Danio rerio: one gene and its partner. The protein of the gene in region 2 purifies or fractionates together with the protein of the main gene of each other region. This does not show direct contact. Links are inferred from orthologs where the notes say so. Each region holds a gene or a part of one and is shown on either strand. Other genes may lie near its edges.

What was found.
Region 1: the proteins of cops4 (region 2) and dtl purify together in Homo sapiens (affinity purification with mass spectrometry; 3 studies listed by BioGRID). This does not show direct contact. The link is inferred for Danio rerio from reciprocal best matches to the Homo sapiens genes COPS4 and DTL.

The regions. Positions count from the first base shown.
Region 1 is NC_133195.1:14,400,638-14,407,783, reverse strand, and holds part of dtl (denticleless protein homolog), read right to left. Parts: intron 7,019-7,146; coding exon 6,915-7,018; intron 6,641-6,914; coding exon 6,536-6,640; intron 6,165-6,535; coding exon 6,052-6,164; intron 5,820-6,051; coding exon 5,730-5,819; intron 5,629-5,729; coding exon 5,490-5,628; exon of another isoform or gene 5,458-5,489; intron 1,501-5,457; exon of another isoform or gene 1,361-1,500; coding exon 783-1,360; intron 1-782. UniProt on the Homo sapiens protein: Substrate-specific adapter of a DCX (DDB1-CUL4-X-box) E3 ubiquitin-protein ligase complex required for cell cycle control, DNA damage response and translesion DNA synthesis.
Region 2 is NC_133185.1:12,011,883-12,019,490, reverse strand, and holds the start of cops4 (COP9 signalosome complex subunit 4), read right to left. Parts: upstream 5,117-7,608; 5' UTR 5,049-5,116; coding exon 4,975-5,048; exon of another isoform or gene 2,998-4,974; intron 2,755-2,997; exon of another isoform or gene 2,725-2,754; coding exon 2,645-2,724; intron 1,856-2,644; coding exon 1,704-1,855; intron 1,075-1,703; coding exon 971-1,074; intron 867-970; coding exon 713-866; intron 1-712. UniProt on the Homo sapiens protein: Component of the COP9 signalosome complex (CSN), a complex involved in various cellular and developmental processes.

The sequences.
Region 1 (7,146 bases), on a different chromosome or scaffold from region 2:
CAGACACACACACACACACACACACACACACACACACACACACACACACACACACACACACACACACACACACACACACACACACACACACACACACACACACACACACACACACACACACACACACACACACACACACACACACACACACACACACACACACACACACACAGTCATGCGCTCCTCTGAGCTCCAGAGCAGTGCACGTCGTACAATTTATCAAGGATGTACGGCTGGATCACGTCTCACTAAATTTGTTATTGTGATATTCAGACATCCCCAGTCTCCCAGAAGTTCAGAGTTTCTCTATTCATTTGCAGGACTCATAATGCACCTTTCAGACGCGTTGCGCACACTCTATCAAATAACGTGCGAACTTTATTCTGTGAAAGAAGACAATTTCACAGAAGGACTCAATTTAAATGCTATTATACAGAAGCTATGAAGTGAGTGGAGTAAAGAAACATCATTGTATGCGGTATTTGCATTTGCATGCGGTATGGAATTTAAGTTTTATAAATGGCAATATTAACTACAAAGTGTTGTAGTTCACAGAGAAGCTACACAAATGGAGGTCAATATCGTAGCATGACTATTTGCGATTTGACTTTTGCATGCAATATTTTCGCACTAGTAAACGCTGCTCTAGCTGAACACAGGTGCTGGAGATTCACAGCTGATAATAGAGCCAGCTTTACTGACAAATGTGCACAACAATCGTATGCAATTTATTAATAAGCAGTAGTATAAAGCATAAAATGAAAGTATTTATATGTACTCACTGGAGATTCTAGTGTTCTTGTATCCTGCTGACTGCTGCCACTGCTGGGGCTCTTAGGCTGAGCCGACCCTTTAAACTTCTGGCTGATCACAGAAAGCCAATCAGTCCTCCTGGGAGAGCTGTTCTCCTTCCCAGAGGCCTCTGCACCATCCGAGCCTAGCCTCTTCTCACTTTCCAAACCAAACGAGTCCTCTTTCTTGAGTGTGCTTACTGAACTCCTACTCCTCTTGACATTGGGATAAAGTTCAGACACACCGTCGATCTCCTCTCCCAAACCAGAGCTGGCAGAATCGCCCGTCTCCAGTCGGCGTTTGACACGGTGTTCGAAGGACAGACCCTGGAGAACAGGTGTGAGGGCTTTTCGAACAGGAGATTTGCTGCTGCGGCTGATCCATTGTTGAAGGGATGATGGCATTTTGGGGCTGGTGAGCTTGGCTGGAGGTGCAGAAGAGGTGTTTGATGGGAGGGGTAAAGCGGCACCTGTAGGGGCACAGGTGGCAGGCTGGGGTGAAGCCAGCGAAACAGACCTCACCGATCCAGGATTTTTGGATGGAGTGAGCTCAACTGGGCTGTGATGGCCTGGGGAAACAAAGGACTCATTAACACCAATTTAACAAGAAATAAGAGAATATTGGTGATTGTGTGTTTATAAATTGTTTTAGGATTCAGTCAAGTTGGTGATTAAGATTTTACATTTAGCTTACAATTGAAGAAACATCCTGCGATATAACAAGAGAAAATACACACAAGTGCTAATTATACAAAGGAATGATTAGCACTCAGAGATTAAGTGCTTGAGTAAGTAAGGGAGAGTTTTTTTATAAGCGTTTCTGCACACTGTTTTTATTTTATTATTAAGAGATTGAAAGAGTCTTGTGCAAAACTGGTGCAGGTGTCAGAGATGAAAGTGTTCTCTACAGGTGGTTTGTCAAGCCCACTCACCTGTGTTAGGCTCAGTTTTTTTGTAGAAAGATTTTTTTGTTTACTAATGCAACTTTTACTTGTTCAAAAGGAGTGCTAAAATGCTTAATGTCTTTTTTCTATTTTCTTTATCAATGATATAAAGCTAGAAGGATTAGAGGCCTCGTAAAAAACAAATTATAGTCCTTAATTTAAGGAGAAATAATGTCATACATAGTAAAGTACTGTTTATATTTGTTTAATTTAAAATTAAGTGTGACTTTCAAACATATATTCATAATACCTGTTTAGAGCTGGGCAATTAAACAAAAACTCATCGAAATAATCAACATTCAGAACCTGTTTTCAATCTATAGGCTTTTCAATCTTTTTCAATTACTTTCCCTTCCGCATGTGGAGTCACGTGAACCTCCTATGTTAAGCCTTTATTTATACTTTTGTGGCCACTTTTTAACCACATTTAATCTCTGATTAAGTAGGACGATGGACCTATTCTTTAGTCTTACTTTTCACTACATTAATTATGATTGTAAGCTGCGCCAGAGATGCTTTGAAATGGCATATTTTCCATTACATTTAAATTATAATTTATATTAAAATTGTTTATAGAAGTTGCAAGAAATGCACTGCATAAAATATTATTTACAGGATATACAATATTTATTTTTTTTTAAAAGAGATACTGCTAATTTTCTACTTTTAGTATGAAAAAACACTGAAAATAAAATCTATATTAAAAGTTAGTTATTTTCACTTTTTTATAAGAAAAAAGTAACTGTTGGTTTTAGGCAATGTGTGTTCTAATTTCAGTCGTTTAGCATTGATGTTCAATAAATAATTATACAGAGACGGTGTGGTGGCTCAGTGATTAGCACTGTCGCCTTACAGCAAGAAGATTGCCTTCTATTATTTTAAAATCAATAATGCAACCTTTACTCAAAAATCTTTCACTGGTAATATGCAAGCATAATTACTGAACAAAACTTGTCAGTAGGGCTGAGCGATATGGCAAAAACAAAAAAAAACAAAAAATCTTAATTTTTTTAATAAAGTTTGACCGATTCACGATTTCAATTTTTTTTTTATTGTGTAACTAGTCAACTTAAAACATTATAACAACATGACTGAAGAAACATTGTCTTTATAAGTAACTTGAAAATCCATCCCATTAAAGAACATTGTATTTTTAATGGCCATGCCATACATAAATTGGTCAACAAGGTGTAAATAAATGTAAAACAAATTCACGAGTTAAATATTGTTGCAGAAGATTTAAATAAAAAATGTGTAAATATTGCAGTTGCAGGAATACAAAGGTATTATTTGCAAGTTTTGTTGAGCCTAGGAAAGATTGGCTGTCAGCTCGACTTTGACTTTTTGCTTCTGATTGAATGACAGGTTGTAATGCTGCTGCCTTTTTCTTAAAAAGATACAGTGGAAGTAAAGGACTGAACTGTAAAGCCTAATTTAACCCAATGTGTGAAGTTGTGAACGTATAGCAGGAGCAAATAAAAAGCACCAGATGTGTGTCTAATATAAAATAATATATTTAATCTATTTTTTCCCCCCTTTTAAATATCGATCATTTGATGCGCTTTGTACCACTCTCTGTATTATGCTGCCTGATCTGTCTGGTTTTCAACTAGGTCCACTAAATGGCGTCATGAGGGCGGGTACTTTCACTTTTACTGCTACGGCTGCTCACCTCTGCTCGTGTTCAAACCAAACTAAGATCAGCGCGGTTTGAACTAAGATCGGCACAGTTTTTTACATAGCTGGTTTTTACATCCTTCATACATGTTGGGAGATTGAGTTTAACGACTTGATGAGGGAATGTCTTAGCAATCCACACAGACGTGACTAAGTAAAGCGTGATGTCATGTAGGATTACACTTGTTGCACTAGTCTGAATGTAAATCCCCTCTTCAGGAAGTGCTGGAGAAGCGTGAGAGAGTGGACCAGAGCATGTTTCATGCAAAGGTATTAATAAAAGAAAAATACACAACTGAAGACACTTAAATGCTTGTATTCGTTGTATTTGCACTAACTCTGCGATGCTTGCCCACAACTTCATGCTTTAGGTTGAATTAGGCTGTCCAGTCCATCACTACCATGAGTGAAATTCAGACAGACAGACAGTCAAGCAGGTTGCACACCAGAAGCGACGCGACACGGCGCGCACATGACAGTTTAAAGTATCACACACAAGACGCGCACATTTGCATGATACTTAACATGAAACTAATCAGATGGCGATCTGTGGCACGGCTAAAATATGAACTGCGTCCTGAATCGTGGCTGGGCGGCGCCGGTTTGTTTATAGAAACTTATGTTTAGAATTCTAAAATCCATGGCGCTGCGCGGCGCTTCTGGTGTGCGACCTGCTTCATACAGAAAGTGAACCAAAGCGCATTGGTGCCATTATGATGTATCAAATATTTTTATATAAAAAAACAAAAAAAAACAAAAAATATTAAAATAATTCGATTTTTCAATTTAATATAAAATTAAATCGTCGTCAAAACGTAAATTCAAATTAATCAAAAAAAAAAAATAAAAAAAATAAAAAGAAAATTAAAGCCCAGGTTTACTTTTCAGTGAACTATGTGGCCTAAAAAATAAAATGAATAAAATTGTCATTCATTAACCATAATTAAATTATAAAGTCTAATTAATCGATAATTTGAATTTAGGCCAAATCGTCCAGCACTACCTATTTTTTAACTTCAGAGTTTAAGCAATTACTTTTGTGAATCAATTAAAAGTATCTATATATCTATATATATATCTATATATATATATATATATATATATATATATATATATATATATATATATATATATATATATATACATATATATATCTATATATATACATATATACATATATATATATATATATATATATATATATATATATATATATATACATATATATATCTATATATATACATATATACATATATATATATATATACATATATACATATACATATATATATATATATATATATATATATATATATATATATATATATATATATATATATATATATATATATATATATATATATATACATATATATATATATATATATATATATATATATATATATATATATATATATATATATCTATCTATATATATATATATATATATATATATATATATATTAAAACTATAACTCTCACCAACTGTATTTGTAGGAAATGTATTTAATTTTCATTTAAATTGAGGAAGACTATCTCTGTAGAGATCTATAGAAATTAAATAATCTCTATACATACCTCTGTAGAAAAACAATGTTTTTAGCAAATTAAATAAACAATTAAATCATATTTATACTGTATTTGCATTGAATGATTCATATTAGGATCAGTTTTTACTATTTAATTTTTTGCCGTCAATAAATATATTAAATAGTAACATTTTTGTAATAAAAATATGAAATTAATACTATCCCAATAAAATGATGATTGGTGCAAAATACATTTATAATTTTATAAAAGCTCTCTATTTCAAACAAATGCCTTTTTAAAATTTGTTCAAAGAATCCAGATCCCTTTCACAAACAAGCAGCACAAACAAGCAGCAAATTAATATTAACATCAATAGTAAATCATTAGCAATAACGACTAAAGCAGCAAGTTGACATATAAGCATGATTGCTAAAGGATTGTGTGACACTAAAAACTACGGCAGTGAAGCTGAACATTCAGCACACAGGAATGTGATCTTTAAAATACAAAAACACTAAACCAGATTTTAAAGAGAAGAGAACTCTACCAGGTGTTCTGTTTGGTGACTGGACTTTACGAATCGTCCAGCCTACAAGGTTTCCATCTTGGATTGTTGAGTTTTCTCCTTCTGGTTTGCGGTTAAGACGCCAGATCCTAACAGTGTTATCATCAGAGCAGGATGCAATCTGCAGGAAGAGTTATGAGTTTTAAACTAATATAAGCCTTTAGAGGCTGTGCACAATTCTTAACCAGTATTTATTTGTTTGCCGCAATTACAGATACTAGCCTTGGTGAAATCGGTAGGACACCAGGCCACGGATGTGACCTCTTGGCTGTGGCCCTGAAGCATCATGGGAGCTTGTTTTGGATCTGAAATCTGGATCAAAAGTAAACAAAATCATGTGTCACCGTTGCTACATAACTTCTGATCTTCTACTTTTACATCTAGATCTGGGGCTGTATGTTACTGGAGGGATGGGGAGCTTACTTTGTAACAAAATCAAATGAATCATTTGAATAGCTCTTCTTGAAAATGTATATATATATTTTTGAGAAATATATTTGAGAATGAGGGAATTTTGCGGGTGAGTGCATGGAGAACTCCTGACCTTCCATATGTAAACGTTATGATCACTGGATCCACTAGCCAGGAACTGGTCATCTGGACTCACAGTGGACTTCACGTAAAATGAGGAGTTACTGTGACCACTGAACACAGCGACTGTGAAAAAGAGAATTAGTTCAGAAACATGCTTCACCTACATAATTCAATTATTTTGGGGATTTTTTATACCAACGAAACAATAGAAGTAAAAAAAAAAAAAAAAAAAACAGTCTTAAGTGCATAATAAATTAAAGTTATCATATTTTGAAAAAAGAAATCAATTCCGACCTGCTGAAATTAGTGCTTTTATATTGTACTCTTTAGACTTTGAGAAATTCTATGTTTGCTCACACATCATTAAAACAACTATGATATCATCATAACACTATCCCACACTCCAGATAAAAACTGATTAGTTAAAAAAATAAAAAATAACAATTTACACTTAAAAACAAACAAACTGAACACTTATTACAATTCATATGTACCTGGAGTGGTTTTCAGCCCACTGATATTAAACATGTAGATATTGTCATCTGTGCAGTTAGAGAAGAGTCTAGATCCAGTGTAGTCCAGTGAAAGACCAGAATAACCTGCAGAAGAAAAACAGGATCATGAAAAGGAAAATTAGCAATAATACTACAGAGAGAGATTATTGCCATCTCAGCTTCTCTGGCTATGTCATAGCAAAAAATAGATACAATTTATGACATTTTATAGAAATCACTTTTCTATAATAAAAAAACAATAAAAAGATAAGAGTTCCAATAAATAAAAAAAAATATTAATTAAATAAATAAAACAATATAAGATTTTTATTTGATAATATGAATTCTCATTAGTAACAGTGGGCTATGAGATGTGTACCTAGTTTGCGCGTGCAGGACCCTGGGTAAGGATAGGCCTGTAGAGGCAGGGGGTTCTGGTGGTATGCAGTATAGTTCCTCCGCAAATCCCACATTTTAATGATCCTAAGACAAGGTCAGAATGTTATTACCCATTTTCAAGAGCGGTACAGTTTAGCACAATACAGGATGCATTTCTACAGCTAGACTAACACACAGATCATAACACCTTTTGGTACCCTTTCGTAAAAAGG
Region 2 (7,608 bases):
CATAGTCTACAGAACAAACCATCATTATGCAATAACTTGCCTAATTACCCCTTACTTGCCTAGTTAACCTAATTAACCTAGTTAAGCCTTTAAATGTCACTTTAAGCTTGAAAAATATCTAGCAAAATATTATTTACTGTCATCATGGCAAAGATAAAATAAATCAGTTATTAGAAATGAGTTATTAAAACTATTATGTTTAGAAATGTTTTGAAAAAAAATCTTCTCTCTGTTAAAACAGAAATTGGGGAAAAAATAAACAGGGGGGCTAATAATTCTGACTTCAACTGTATATAAACACAGAATGCAATGGCAAAAATGAAACAAATTGACCGTTTTCTTTGTGTATTAGTAAAACCCCAAAACTACATCCAGTCATAAATATGAACAAACTTATATTTGTATTACTACATTCATATTTACATATTTTTATTAAATAAAAACACATTAAAAATACATGAAGTTGTATATTATATGTTGAAAGGATGCAAAAAATAAAGAATTATTTATAACTGTAAATGGTAATAAGACTTATCACAATAAATACTGTATAACGCACATAAAAAATTTGAACAGAACTCAGAAAAGCAACTGCTCAAATAAATTGTTTCACAAAAAAGTCACACCAAAATCAGAAATGTCTATTTTGGAACTACTGCCCGGCAGTACAGTATACATAGCATATTATAAAAAGACAGAGCTGAAAGATCACCTTGTAGTGAATCTGCAACTGTTCATTGGTGGATTCATTCTGCAATAAAGACGCTCGGTTGATGTAGGCCTCGGCCTGAACCGGGTCGTCATCCTCCAAATACAGACGAGCAATTTTCAGGTAAGTGTCTAATTTGTAGTCCACATTATACTGTCTGTAGAAGCAGAAAAACATGATTAGAAAATCCAAACTCACGACCAGCAGTACTGGGCGACATGTTGGCTGCATTGGTTTAATCCAAGAGAAAAGCAAGCTTACTTTTGACCCGTCTCCAGTGGGATCCCCACAAGAACCTGTGCAGCGTTCCTCCAGTCCTCCTGCTTCTCATAGATTGTGGCTAAATGCTGTCTGATGGATGCCACCTGAAAGAGTGAGACGTCGACTGTAACTTTCTGTCGTACACCACACATACCAAAAAGGTACCATTGGTACCCTTTTGGCAGTGGAAACGCAAGCCTGATAAAGGTGTCCCTTAGCATACCCCTCAGTGGAAACGGGCCATAAGAAAACATCCTCATAAACAAAACATGTGCATGCAAATTATTACAACACGTGCAAATACAGAAACATGCTGCAAATAGTACCAATCACAATGGAAATAAAATAGTGACGAGTACATCCTGACTAGTCACAGGTGTTGTCAGAAATCTGGGATCATAACTTTTTGGGATCCCAGACACATTTCTATTGTGATTGGCACTATTTGCATCATGTGTATTGTCAAACCAATGAAGATGTTTTCGCAGTTTGTATGTGTTCTTCTATTTGTATGTGTTTTCTTAACTTTCATCATCTTTGAGGTCTTTCAGCCACCGTAGGACAATCTACCTGCAGTGAATTTATTCTAGGTTTCAATGGCTGAGGAGAATAAATCAGACAGTTTTCCCACCAGTGGCAAAAATAGCCATTATTTAATTATTTAGTTGCAGAAGCATCAAATTTGGTTCCACATGTGAGTAATTTGTTTGCATTGTAGAGGGCTGAAACCCACCTGTTCTTCAAAAGAGATGACTCTGGGCTGGATCTTCTCCAGGGTGAAGTGACACACAACTTTCGCTATGTCGTCTGGAAGATTTGGAAGGTGCGCGCAGAAGTCTGTCAGAAGCTGTCTGGATATGACCAGGCTGACATTCTCATTGACCACTATTCAAGAGACAAGGGAAATTATGAAATAAGTCATTGTAGAGACTAAAACGCCATAAAAGAGCCACACAAACTAAACGTTCTCATTTATAACTGATTTTCTTCAATATTCACTCAATGGCCCTTTTGTTATGAGCACCTGTTCATCTGCTTGCTTTTGCAGAAATTTAATCAGCCAATCATATGGCAGTACATCACTCAATGTAGATTTAATAAAGATGATCTGCTGAAGTTCAAACAAAGCGTCAGAATAAAGAAGAAAACCGATTAAAGTGACTTTAAGGCTTTTTTTAGAGAGAAAACCCCCCTCACCCAGACTGATGTTTTTACTGGGTGTCAGAGCGTGACAGTTCAAAATCACTGGGCATGCACATATTTAGCCAGCATTAATTCTTGTTGTACACCAGTTGCGTATTAGGCATATAATAGGGAATGATACGCAGTAGAGTAGAAGACCAGTCAGAGATCGATTGTTGATAGCCACATCTCCGTTTTCAGCATTTCAGTCCATTTATTGTAAATTAAACAAAACCTTCAAATCTCAACAGAGATTTACATAATGAACATGCAGGCAGCAAGTCAGCATCATCTGTGTGATACAGTCCTGTAAATATGGACCAAAAATTCTGAGAAATAATATGAGATCCTTGCTAAAACTATTCTAAGCCATGAGAACGAGCAGTTCTGAAATCAAAATGGGTCTAACCAGTAACAGCAAGGTGTAATTAGTAAAGAGGCAAGTGAATGTTTATAATCAGAATATTAGTACTTGAATACTAGTATACTTACTCGCTTCAACAAATGCTTTCAGTGCTTCAAGTTGTTCTGCATCAGTAAACTGTAGAGCCTTTTCTAATATTTGACGATATCTGTGAAAACAGGGAGGACAAAGATTATAGCTACAAAAATTATACTATACTTGTGTTGACATTACTGGATGATAATGATGACTGGATTTATATTGTACTGTATAAAGTGATAAATATATCAAATGCAGCTTTAAATGCTTGTTAAGGTGAATTCTTAGTGGCTGTCAATCAACAGTTCTACATCCCCATTCACAATGTTGCCACGGTCATATGACCTAAACTTGAACTTCATCTTCAGAATATATGTAAATCATCATTATTTAAGCAAACCACAGTAACCACAAATCAACTATGGATTTTGACACCAATTTAAATCTATTCCTGGTGTTTATTTGTGGTTAAGTCTTGTTTATACAAATGCTAATCATCAGTGTACCAAAAAAATGCTTAATACACTTTTACTATAATATAGTCATGATCAATTTCATATGGGCTGTGTGACTTGTGTCGCTCCACTACTATTCACAAATCCTCTCCTGTGGCCTAGTGAGACAGAAAAGTTTTGATTCGACACACACCTCAGAATCTCAGCATACAAAGCATGTTATTCTGGTCCTTTTTGCATAGGGGACAGCGGGGATGAAAGTAACATTTTGCATATAAACCTAACTCTAAAAAGATAATGTTTTTAGCGGAAATATATATTTTGCTGAGGTTACCAACTCATAAGAGTGATCAATCAAAATCAGGTGTTATTTTGTATAATGTAGAACAACACCAATATAACGTCACTTTACACAAAAGTTGCACAGCTACTTTTGACAGGAACGAAAAAAAACTCACAGGTGAGTCAAAAGTAACACAACAATATTTGCTAGATTTACCGGCTTAATCGTGTTTATTTTAAATATATCTGACCAGTGGTGTAAAGTAACAAATCACCAATACTCAAATTACTGTGAGTAACTTTTCTCAGAAATTGTAATTTACCAAGTAATTTAAAAAATATGTACTTTTGATTTTTCAGTACTCATTCCACCACTGTATCTGACTTTGACCTTGTTAATGTTAACTGCAGGCATATTTTGTCCTTTATTTTTGCAAAAAAAATATTAAACTGCACCTTAATTTTTAATTTTACTTCCATAAAATGTTTCAAAAGCAATCAAACAATGCAAAATGTTATATTTTCTTAAAATTTTTGAATATTTTATTATTATTATTGGCAATCTGCATTAATCTTATAAAACAGTCAAGAGTCAAAACACTGAAAACTAATATGGAAGTGAAAAAGTGCAGAGGGACATAAATAACAGTGTTACTTTCATCCCTACAGTAAACCTAATTTACCTTTTAAACTGCAAAACTCAGACATTTCAAAATCAAGGAATTGTTATTGCACTAAAGAACCTGCAGATTGATCATTACGGTGATGCATGAAAAGAGAAATACAACAAACCACTACAATAATTTACATTTTGCACTTTCAAACAGAAATTTAGAGCTCATTGCAGGACACGGCCCCAAAATTGTATATTTAGCAGTTTCATTAAGGGTTGCATGCTGCTAAATGTGTTGTTATAGCCTGTAAATCAAATGTTTTCAGGGCTTCGAGAAAATCACTTTGTTACTTTTGTCCCACGTTTCTTTTATTCCTGCTCTCCCCTACTGTTTTTTTTTAAATACAATGAACTATTACTGTCTATTCAACTTTTTCTTTTCGCCTAATATAAAAGTCTACATATTCAGACACACATTTTAATAATGCTGAGGGTAAGGCTTGTTCATCCTATAAAATTTGATTGGACAAAAACGTAGACACGCCCCTAAATGCAAGATGAGTCATCAGTATTTTGGTTTTAAAAAACAAACGGTTTTTTTTCAAATGTCATTGTCAAATGACAACTATATTGTCAACTTTTAGGTCTACGTTTGGATATACAATATCTCAAACCAAAATTACTGAACCAAACGATTTGATTTAATGGGGTCTTAAATTCTGTAGGCTAACTGTATTTGCATTAACGTACTCCTCCTATCGTTTTCAAATTATATTAGTCAATTCACAAAGACATTTGCATACAAATATGCTAATGATTCTAATAGCTTTTACTATTTATAACTTGTATGATTGTTATTGATGTAGGCATGTTGACAGGTAGATCCTCAGTATTACACACGCTTGCTAATGTTAGCCTGTAGTCATATCATTTGCAGTATCACAGACCTTTATATAGAAAATCACACAATAACACCCAAATGCAAAAGACATACAGTAACGATATTAGCAAATGACTTGAAACCACATACTTCCCAGCTAGATCTTTATGAGAGCCACTAGAGTTCATCAGCTGTGCGAGCTCCTGCCTCACGCCGGACGCCATTTTCCTCCGCACTTAAACAGCGAAACCTGCGGGCCAGCAGAGGGCGCCACACAACACAGAGAACCGACGACAACTGAACAACACACTAGAGGGCGGTAAAGTCTATGTGGGATACAGCTGCGGATAGCATCATTTTTGTGACACTAATTAATATTTTACATAACTGTGAGATGGGCATTAATAAAATACAATTCAATGGGTAATTTAATAAATATTATGAGTAATAATTGGTATAATGACAGTTTTTTACATTATAATGGTATAATTACTGTTTTACATAACTTTATTGATTGAGTTTAGGGTTAGGGGGGATAGGCATTAATAAAATACAGTTCAATGGGTAATTTGATAAATATTATGAATAATGCTTGATATAATTATTGTTTTTACATTACTTTGATGTTTGTATTTAGGGTTAGGTAGGTGTTGACATTAATAAAATACAATTTAATTGGTAATTTAATAAATATTATGAGTAATACTTGGTATAATTACTGTTTCACATAACTTTATTGGTTGGGTTTAGGGTTAGATAGGGGTAGACGTTAATAAAATACAGTTTAATGGGTAATTTAATGAATAATATGGGTAATACGTGGTGTTTTACCATCACTTTGATGCTTGAGTTTAGGAATGGGGTAGGTGTTAATAAAATACAATTTAACTGGGGATTTTAATAAATAATTCTTGTTAATCAAATCTTGTGCATCAAATGTGTGTGTGTGTGTGTGTGTGTGTGTGTGTGTGTGTGTGTGTGTGTGTGTGCAACATTTTATTTATTATTATTATTAATGTGAACATAAATGTGAACATAAATTAATTTATTATATCAATTTGTTTGTCAAAATTTTATTTAATTAATTTTAATTGTAAATGTCTAAAATTCATCAATACAAATAGGTGCAACACACCCATTGGGGGGTTTAGACATAATATTAGTAGTAATATTAATTGAATAATGATGAATTAATAATTGATAAAATAAATTACACCTAGTTAATATTCTAAAGACAACATAAAAACTGAACCTTTAGTAACTGAACCTCTAAGAAATCTTTCTCAGACATCTTCGTGTTTTTAGTTTCAGATATTTTATTATTACTCTGAGCTCAACAGCCTCCTGATGAGATTTTATATATAGTAAGGATCAATAAAGATCTGCCTCCTTCACTCTTCCCTGCAGTAACTCTATAATATAATTAATTAATTCATTAATTTTTTTTCGGCTTAGTCCCTTCATTCATCAGGAGTTGCCACAGCGGAATGAACTGCCAACTTACCAAGCATATGTTTTACACAGCTGATGCCCTGTCAGCTGCAACCCAGTTCTGGCAAATATCTAAACACACTCGTTCACACTCATACACTATAGCCACACATATGTAATATAATATAATATAATATAATATAATATAATATAATATAATATAATATAATATAATATAATATAATATAATATAATATAATATAATATAATATAAAGGTGTCACGGGGGCACAGTTGACAGCACAATAGCCTTACAGCAAGTAGGTTGCTGGTTCGAGCCTTGGCTGGGTCAGTTGACATTTTTTGTGTGGAGTTTACATGTTCTCTCCGTGTTGGCGTGGGTTTTTTTTCGGGTGCTCCAGTTTCCCCCACAGTCCAAATACGTTCTGTGGGTGAATTGGTCGTGGTGTATGGGTGTGACTGCAAGAGTGTGTGGGTGTTTCCCAGTGTTGGGTTGCGGCTAAAGAGCATCTGCTGCGTAAAACATATGCTGGATAAGTTGGCGATTCATTCCGCTGTGGCCACCTTAGATTAATAAAACGTGAATGAATAATAAAAAATAAATGAATTCAATTCAATTCAATTCAGCTTTATTTGTATAGCGCTTTTACAATGTAGATTGTGTCAAAGCAGCTTCACATAAATGGTCATAGTAACTGGAACAGTGTGGTTCAGGTTTTAGTGTAATAGAAAATTTACAATAATATAATATAATATAATATAATATAATATAATATAATATAATATAATATAATATAATATAATATATAAAAATATATAAATAGATATGTGGCGCAGTGGGTAGCAAAATCGCCTTACAGCAAGAAAGTTGCTGGTTTGAGCCTCGGCTGGGTCAGTTCTAAAATAATTATCATAATATTCCAAGTAAAAATCCATTCTTTTGCTTTTTTATTGAAGAGTTGAATAATGAAAATTCAAATGAATTAGTTAATTAGAAAACTAATTTTAGACGCAAAATTCTAAAATTAATTAATTGTAATATGTATTAAAATTATTAATATAAACACTTTAAAGACACTTGAAGAGTGTTCTCTTACAATTCCCAAATTTGTAAACTTTTGTTGTTGTAAACATTTTGTAATGTACAAATAATTCATTTAAATAACTAAGAAAATTGTGCAATTCAGATAACGATTTAGATAAACAGGAAAAATAACAATTATGAACATCAGTAAAAATATATATTTTTAATTATGCGCAATGCAAAAATTACAGTCATGGTACATACAAAGAATAAAGTTAGAAGCAAAACAATAATATACAAAGGAGCTAC